Daphnia pulex: one gene and its partner. The main gene of each other region encodes a partner of the protein of the gene in region 2 in a complex. Links are inferred from orthologs where the notes say so. Each region holds a gene or a part of one and is shown on either strand. Other genes may lie near its edges.

Evidence for each region.
Region 1: the proteins of endoribonuclease Dcr-1-like (region 2) and RISC-loading complex subunit tarbp2-like are in contact, whole or in part, in a cryo-EM structure (PDB 8DGJ), measured with the Drosophila melanogaster proteins. The link is inferred for Daphnia pulex from reciprocal best matches to the Drosophila melanogaster genes Dcr-1 and loqs. Residues at the interface, in NP_524453.1 of Drosophila melanogaster: His245, Phe248, Asp251, His252, Arg253, Asp255, Glu258, Ile259, His303, Tyr306, Gln307, Glu310, Lys311, Lys313, Arg320, Leu323, Cys326, Leu327, Ser329, Thr330, Ile333, Gln334, Tyr336, Ser337, Leu338, Glu340, His341; in NP_609646.1 of Drosophila melanogaster: Thr358, Gln359, His360, Ser361, Lys363, Val364, Phe367, His368, Lys372, Ile414, Glu415, Glu416, Lys417, Thr418, Phe419, Gln422, Gln424, Pro433, Val434, Gly435, Val436, His438, Ser440, Asn454, Tyr458, Ile461, Met462, Lys464, Lys465.

Annotation. Positions count from the first base shown.
Region 1 is NC_060018.1:12,865,652-12,869,807, forward strand, and holds RISC-loading complex subunit tarbp2-like, read right to left. Parts: upstream 2,470-4,156; 5' UTR 2,399-2,469; coding exon 2,324-2,398; intron 2,234-2,323; coding exon 2,092-2,233; intron 2,025-2,091; coding exon 1,910-2,024; intron 1,833-1,909; coding exon 1,807-1,832; intron 1,745-1,806; coding exon 1,473-1,744; intron 1,402-1,472; coding exon 1,267-1,401; intron 1,180-1,266; coding exon 850-1,179; 3' UTR 597-849; downstream 1-596.
Region 2 is NC_060018.1:8,404,689-8,409,102, forward strand, and holds the start of endoribonuclease Dcr-1-like, read right to left. Parts: upstream 3,066-4,414; 5' UTR 2,931-3,065; coding exon 2,871-2,930; intron 2,770-2,870; coding exon 2,654-2,769; intron 2,596-2,653; coding exon 2,440-2,595; intron 2,373-2,439; coding exon 2,043-2,372; intron 1,929-2,042; coding exon 1,696-1,928; intron 1,601-1,695; coding exon 1,474-1,600; intron 1,406-1,473; coding exon 991-1,405; intron 918-990; coding exon 409-917; intron 351-408; coding exon 1-350. UniProt on the Drosophila melanogaster protein: Endoribonuclease which functions in microRNA- (miRNA) gene silencing and, independently of its ribonuclease III activity, also acts in the short interfering RNA- (siRNA) gene silencing pathway.

The DNA of each region.
Region 1 (4,156 bases), about 4.5 Mb from region 2:
GTCATCATCTTCCATTAAACTTGGCATCACGAGATTTCTCTCTCTCTCTCTACACACACACAATTCCAACAGCAGAAAATGGAAGAAGAAGAAGAAAACAGAGTCGATCCTCGGCTCTTATCGACCCATACCCACCCCCACACACACACACACACACAACGGCCCTTGACACACACCGAGCAACGACTTTTTCTTTCTCTTTTTACCTCTGGGTGGCGCCAGCCGATGCTTTTCTTACATGTAGGCCACTTTTCGCCAGCTAATTATATATCTAGATTGCACACACGGCCAATTCAATTCAATACGATCAAGACACACACAAACACACTCACAGCTAGAGACCTTCTCTCTCAAGCCAACACACACACAACACACACAACACTCACACCACTTGTCTCTCTCTCTCTCTCGACACACAACACACTGTACGGCGCCAAACTGCTGCTGGGTCTCAACTGTGAGCGTCGAGCGTCACGACAACACCAAATCCAACTCGAGACTAAATCAGCAGCGCCGAGCTGCTGCAGCGGACCAATCGGCAAGAAGAAGAAAAAAAAGGGAAAACTAGACACGCCAACGCCATCTAGCGGCAGCCATTAAAATCGATCACAATGTGTATTTTCTTTTTCTGTCTCGTTGGGGGTTGGTTGGCATATCATTTGAGGGAGGGCATTTTTTTACAATTACACACACGCACGCAATTGACGATTGATTTCAAGAAAATGCCGCCACATGAAAATGTTGAGATTGTCAATAAGGACTAAAACAAATGACCTAGTCTGAGAGAGGAAATACTTTTAAGGTGTAAAGCAAAATGCTAAATTGGTGGTCACATCGTCAAAGCTATTACTACCGACTACTATTCGTTTCTTCATTGGCCGAGTCGGTGGCGGGATCGGTGCTGCTGCTGGCCGGGACTTGTGCTGATGGCATCTTCTTCGTCATCAGCTTGAGATAGTGCAGGGCACTGAAGGCGGCTTCTTTTTGAGCTTCTTCGTAGGACGAGCCGCTGCCGCAAACGACGGCGATTGGCGTGAGCGACATGGTCAAAAGACACTGGTATCGACCCGAATGCGTCTTTTCCTCAATGTCCACGTAGGTGGCGTCAAACTTTTGCTCCGCCGATATCTCGCGCAGCAATTGGAAGTAATCTAAACAAGGATCCTTCAAGGCCACTTCCTGAGCAAGCAGCAGTAACAAAAAGTAGCAAAACGGAATTCAGCTGGGGTTGTTTTAAAGAAAAAGAAACACGGTATTATTACATACTTGTAAGGCTGCGATCTTTTCTCCGGCGAGTTTTCTGAGGCTTCGGTGGAACTGCGTTATTTTGATTCCGTGAGAGGATTTGCTCGATTGGTTTTCCTTTAAGCCGCCACACCTAAGTGAAGCCCTTTGCGCAATCTGTTGGACAAGGCAAAAGCTTCGATTGCAACACACATTTCACCTGCAATAATAAAACGTAATGGCATTACTTCATCCTCGTCCTCGAGACCGCCTTGGTTGGGCAGCTCGATGGGCGTATCTTTGAGTTTCATCTGCATTCGATAGGCCGCTTGTCTCTTTGCCAATTTCTTCGACTTGCCCACTCCAATTTCCTGGTGGTTCTCCACGACACAAGTGATGACAAATTCCCTTTCGTGTGGCAGGCCATTTTCGCCTTCCAGCACGTAACTCGGAGGCGCCCATCTGTGAGATATGCACAGTTCTTGTAGGTTGCCTACTGGATTGCCCGGAATACCATCATCTGCAATCACAATGGGAAAACATTTTACACAAGGAAAGCTCCATTAATCGTAGTCTTGTTACCATAGGGTGAAGTTACTGTTCTCAACCTAAAATGTTGGGAAAATTTACGTCATTTAATGCTTATTCTGTTTTGGATTATGGACTCTGGGAAATAAAAGCTCACGTGCCACCACCAATATTTTCCAGCAATGTAGAGCAATGACCACCCCAGATTTTGTCCAAAACCGCTTTAGCTGCAGCATGCTTGGCTTTTTTCTTGGACTGCCCAGATCCCATGGCTAGATTGAATTCAGTTGACGGGTTGAATGTCAGCAGCATGTGCGGAATTTTTTGGCTCCTACTTACCAACTAGTTCCCCAACAGAAACCCGATATTTGAACGTAGGCTCATGGATGGCCCCCTCGATTTGGATCAAATCATACTTGGGGTTGATGCCCTTCTTCACGTACAGCTCCTGAAGCAAGGAGACCGGTGTTTTCGCTGCACCCTGAAGAAACAAGATAAATATTTACACAAGTCGATCAAAAATAACAACAGCACAGTTTGTGATTCGGGGGCATTGGGGATTTAGTTGTACCTCCATGCCTTCAGCGTGTGTACTGCCCTCGGTTTCGTCCAGTAACGTGTCTTCATCTAGGTTATATATCTTCATTCTTTATATATATTTCTTTTTGGGGAAAGACTTCAAAACTAAAAATAACTGGGTAGCGGGTTGTTGTGTATGGACGTTATTGCTTGTGGCAGACGAACGAACATTAAGACCCTCAACGCCATCTGGAGGCGTGAAACTCGTTCGATTTCCAATCGTCTAGGAAGCAACACATTCACGACATTTTTTTCTCAAAAAGAAAAAAGAAAAAACTAATAATATAATTCCTAGTCTAGAGATTGGGTAATCTAGGAATGTCCATCTTGTCCTTTTCAAATTCCATACGTGAATTCGTGTTTTATGCACGTTCTATTTCAGGGAGCGACGAAGATTGCGGAACCCATCAGTGTGCTTTTTAGTCAGGTTTTTGTTAAGTGCAGCTAGCAGACATTTGGGGCAAGTTCCTTTTTTTAATATAGATTTTTTGTGCTGTTGTTGTTCACGAATAGAGTGTCGTGATGATGGAGACGTGAGTGGCTAGCTACATAGAATCTCTTATTTGCTAGAGACGACGAGACTGGGCCGGCAGCCAAACCGTTTTTCGTTTGTACCGAGGACTTGCACACACACTCTCTCTCTCTCTATACGCACCACGAAGCACTAATTATAGATCATGAGCAAAAGAGGAGAGCTGTGTGACTAGAAAGAGAAAAACACACACAGCCCGGACAAGAGAGAGTGGAGGGGGGATGACAATCGACGGCTCATTGCTCTTGCAAGAGGAGAGAGAAAAAAAGGGGCGACTTGGTGCCTTCATTCCGGACGTAACCTCGCCGAAAAATTATAGAAAAAAGGCTCGTCGTTACGCCACATTGACATTCCGCTTCTTCATTCCGTTCCTGCTTCGCATGCAGACAAGTCCAAATGAAATATTGCCAGCCGCATTTATCTTATAACTTATCCAACAACTAATGACCACCATTTCAGACATATACGAACATTAAAAAGTCCGCAAAGATAAGTCGAGCTTGGAATTATGAAACGTGTCTTCTACTAATAATGAATAATTAATTTTTGTGTAACTTGCGCAATTTCTTGCTATAGAAACAACTAGAAACAATTTGATGTTTTTATAAGCGAAGCCGTCTCCATATTCAACCAACCCGGAAAATGATTCTATCTCGGTTTTGGTTGTTGTTGCGATAAACAAGGTAAATGCGGTAAAATGAAACCGTTCGCCAAGGGCATCACAAATAATAACGACGCGTACGTTTCACAATATAATCGAGATTAGCCAGTTTGAAATATTTTATCTAGCTCCTTTGAAGAATGGTTGTGAATACTGCTGTGCGCAACTTTCTTTTTGACAGCAGCGCGTCCTTTTGTATGGGCCCCAATGCAATATGATATATCAGCAGCGCTGGTCTTAGGCTTGCGCTTCAGGTCTAAGTGCTATACAAGATTATATTCCGTCAAATAGAAAATATATGGGGTCACCGGTCGCCGCTACTCGGAAACTTGAACCCATAGACGGTTTCTATTTTCATATTTCTCTGTTAAGAGAAACCCAGTAAACATGTAGATACAGTATATCTAACGTTAAAAAAAAAACTTTAAGCCTTTTTAGAAAGGTTTTCTTTTCCTCATGTAACGAGTTACTCACGGCTGTTATTTTTGTGATTTTTCCACCTGTGTAGGAAATCTGCACGCTTTTTAAAGACGAAATTATTACCTTATAGTAAGCGGCCATTAATTTAAGCAATAAATGGAATTGTATTATATTGCATTTCATTGTATTTTATTTTTAGTTCCGAGTACGAG
Region 2 (4,414 bases):
CTTCCTCTTCAAGCCGAAGGTTTTCCTTCCCCGTTGGATAGAAATGATCGTCCAACTCTTTCTTTTGGTGCAATAACCGACATGCTTCTAGTGCCGCAGATCGTTTGGCCGTTACTTTTGATGGCATAGGTTGACTTAATACAGTCTTTCGCAGAGGAGAATTAATTGGTAACTGCAACGAGCATATGTATGCTACGTCCAAGAAAACGTTTTCTGTTGCACCACTATTTTTAAATAGTCCAATCCATTTATCCAAAACAGATGGTTCAATTAATTCTCGTTTTATGGTACGTATCCTCCACACAGGGGTTAAGCGTGTGAAACAATCGCTAGGCAACTTTGCGCAATATCTACAACAGAAATTTTTCATGAAACCTAGTTTTACAGAATTAAAAAAGTATGTGATACCTGTTAATTATAGAAATCGCGTTTTGCAAAGATGCATACGAATTAGAAGTTTCATCAGAAGGGTAGGGAGCCTGAATGCAATTAAGCATATCTTCGTTGTGGTTGAAAAACTCAGCAACCGAATTGTGATACCCGCTTTTACTTAACAGAATTTGTTCTGTTGCATGAAAGTGAGATAAATCCACTAAAAACTCATCCATGCGCTCATTTTCGACCATGAGGATGTAATGTGCTTTTTTAGCGCGAGCTCGAGCTTTTGAGTGAACGTAAGCCCGGTAGGATTGTGGTAAATCGTAACGAATAACCAGATGACATGCCGGAACGTCAATTCCATCCTCTAATACGCTAGTGGCTACAAGAATGTTACAATCACGACTACGAAATCGTTTCATGACGTCTTCTTGCTTTCTTTCTTCATTCTCCATTTCTTTGACACTCACGCCTTCCATTCGGTCAACCGTATACAACGGGCTTAGATAAGCTAGTTGTGGATCACAACGACTTGCATCCTATAAAAAAATGTAAATGAATATTCGGCATTAAATATTACATAGCAATACGAGAATTTTGTCGTTGTGGAACCTTTAAAAGATGGTAGAGTAATTTTGCTGTAGTACGTCTTTCAGTGAAAATCATCCCACAGAGCTGGTAAGCATCTTCTCGATTTCGGTGATGGCGATTTGAGAAATCAGGACGCCGCCGTCGACTAGTGTGTCCTGGTTGAGTTGTCGATTGACGCAAAATCGCTGGACCGTTTTCAATTAATTCTGCGGTTTGCGACGTTTCGGTTGCCAACTTTGGGGTCTGAACAGTTTGCCCTTCGGACGAAACTAAAGAATCGCTTACTTCTACTAATTCAGCACTTGTGGGCAGCACGGAAGGTATCGGCGGTCGGTAGATCCGAAGAATGTCCAACAGGCGAAGAACCTTGGGATGGCTAAACTTCACGATACGTTCATATTCAGAGTATTTCTGAAACTCTTCTTCGCACAATGATCTAGAAAGTAAATATATATATATCATGTATACAAAGTACGTTGAAATGTGTACTTTAAAAGCGCAAACCTTATTTCAAGTAAAACAGTGAAGACAAGGCATAATAGAAGATAGTGTCTTTCATAAACTGCTTTCGTTTTCAATTTTTCTAAATGAATGAGGTATACCAAAGCAGCACGGTCTGCTCCCCAAGGACCTAGGTCAATTATATTGTATTAATTTTTAAAATCGTCTAACGTAAACTTCTAAAAATAAATAAAAAAACTTATAAAAATATTTGTGATTATTCACCAAAATTTTGAATGATTTGGATGTATTCTTCAAGTAGATCAAGAGGTTCATGACATGGATTAGGAATCTCTTTTAGATAATCTTGTTCCCCATAGTACTCAGCGGGATCATATCGATGATCTCGCAGATAATCATTCAATAAAAGAATACGACCCATTATTTCTTGCTGCAGCTCTGTGGCTTCATACTTGGACGATATTTCACATATCAATTCTTTGGGTCGAGTTGAATGCCTAGATTAAATAAAACATTAGAAGAGTTAATTTTCCACAAAAGTAGTCAGCAAGCAGATAGCATATTGGACTTCATCATGCCCACACTAAATGAATTAATCACCATATACTTACTGCAAGGCTGACAAAACGTTGTTGGAAGTCGAAATAACCGATTTTAATTTTGTTTCCAGAATAGTTATCAACTGAGACAGTTCCATCGGCTTGCATATGTTATTTACAATAGATGCAGTTAATCCAAGGATTCTTGGATGTACACTACTTGCTGCATTTTCATAGAGAGTTAAAACTCCTTTTAAAGCTTCATTGTTCATAACATTATGGCAGTCATCCAATATCAACAAATTAAGCTTGTTCATTTTGAGAAAGTTTTTGTGGATGACTTCTAGAAATATGGAATATGTCATGACAAGCACCTGACTTTTCCCCAACTCCTCTGTCCATCTTGAATAATACATATTAAGTGTTTTACAGTTAATTTTATCCATAAAATACTTCTATAAAAATTTACCTTTCAGAACTCCACTGCAATACACCTTTTTTCTCATGAAAAATTCCTACTTTCAATGGAGTGTGATGGCGCAAGTAAGCTGAACGCTGAAGTGCCAATTTGATTGTTGGGGTAAGGTAAACTGAGCAAAAACCTCCCTTGGGTAAGAGCAGAGAACTAATTAAAACAGTAAGTAAATTAATGAGTTAAAATTTTACATCACTTCATAACTTACTTGCACACTTCAAAAGCTTTTTCTCGAATTAACATTACAGCAATGAACATCTTACCCAAGTCAGCTTTTAAACATGCAATAGTATTTTTAACTTTTGCAGATTCAAAAAGTTCAACCTAAAAAAATGTATAAACAATATTTCTTAACTAAACATGGCAATCAAATATAAATTTGTTAAAGAATAAGTCTAACAATAGTATGGAAATCCTATACAAACCTCAAAATCTCTTGGAGTAAAATTATCATTTGATGATAAATCCATCATTTGAGGTAACATTTTAGCGAATAAAACGAATGGACATAAGAGGAAACTCGAGAAAATTTCTGAAGCTTAGTAACAACTTAAGAACATCAGAACTCAGATGTAAAAAGTTTTTTGTTTACAGGTTTACAGCATGAGGATGACTTAAACAACGATGCCATATTAAAATATCACATGGCCGTGAAACTCCCTTTTGCAGGGTTAACCGGGGGGTTGATTTAACCCTGAAGGGGAATTTTGCTTCATCTAGCGAGGAAAAGACACACATATTTAAATCATTACTTTGTCTGATTGTTTATTAAAGAATGTATAGTTGTATACGATGTTAGATATCATCGGTAACTCTACAGCATACAAGCATATAAACCTAAATCATACGTAGATTTTTTCATATATAATCATTTAATTGTTTTTTAGTATTCTAGATATGTCGAACAATACGGAATTGTTGGTGTTCGCGCTTGCAAGATGATGGGGCCTAACGGCCTTCGTTATGTTATCGTCAGCATCACGCATCACCATGGGTTTTCATTCCCCACATCTACTTTAAATTTTTATTAATTATAGTGTTCTTGTTATTATACATCCATTTCAGTTTTCTCTCGTTCTGCGAATTTTAACGTTTTATAACAGAAATGTGAATTCGACGACTGCCGACTGCGGAGCACCTGGTCGCTGTAATTGAGGTTGGTGTGGTCAGTCTGAGGAGGACGTGTGAACGTTGTAGTTGTATGCCTACCGATCGGATTCAGCTGAAGCCGAGATCGGTCGCTAAGATAATGCAAATAAAAATGAACAAGGCAACTTGGATACAATTTTATGTGTCATTGATCGTGAGATGAAAATGAACTGTAGGACTGTAGATCTCTATCATTGGTTTCCTGTTTTTAATTTAATTTTTAATTCATTTTAACGAGTGCTTTTTTTTTCTCTTGTCTTTCCAAGAATAGTTTAGTCAAAATACCGATGACAATCATATCAATCATTTCTGAATATTTTGGGTTAAAGTCACAATCGGGTTGGATTAAGAAAAATCCGGTTTCAACATTTTTGGATAACAACGATACAAGGGCAATCACCCAACTGTCTATTGGTGCAGCAACAAAATCCCAAAGGCGGACACCCATTGGCCTTTTTTTAAATAATAATACACTAGTCGCTAGATAAGAATAGCTAAGGCTAGGAAAATAAACCAATTAATGTGTAAAATAACTTATGATAACTCTAGTAATCTCGACCGCAGAAAGATCATTCACCATAACTAGACTGTTCATTGTTTTCCATTTTTCAACAGCGTTTTCACGTGTTACGCACCCCTATAAGTTTTCTGGTTCAAGCAGCGGTTTTCAAATTTTTAATATACCTTCACATTGCCTTCCACACACTACGGTTGCTTAAACCGAAAAATGTAACATAGTAGGAATGTTGTTAAAGCCATCTCTGGTTAAAGCATATTACGCAGTTTAAAGGTCACATTTTACAACAACCCATTATATTTA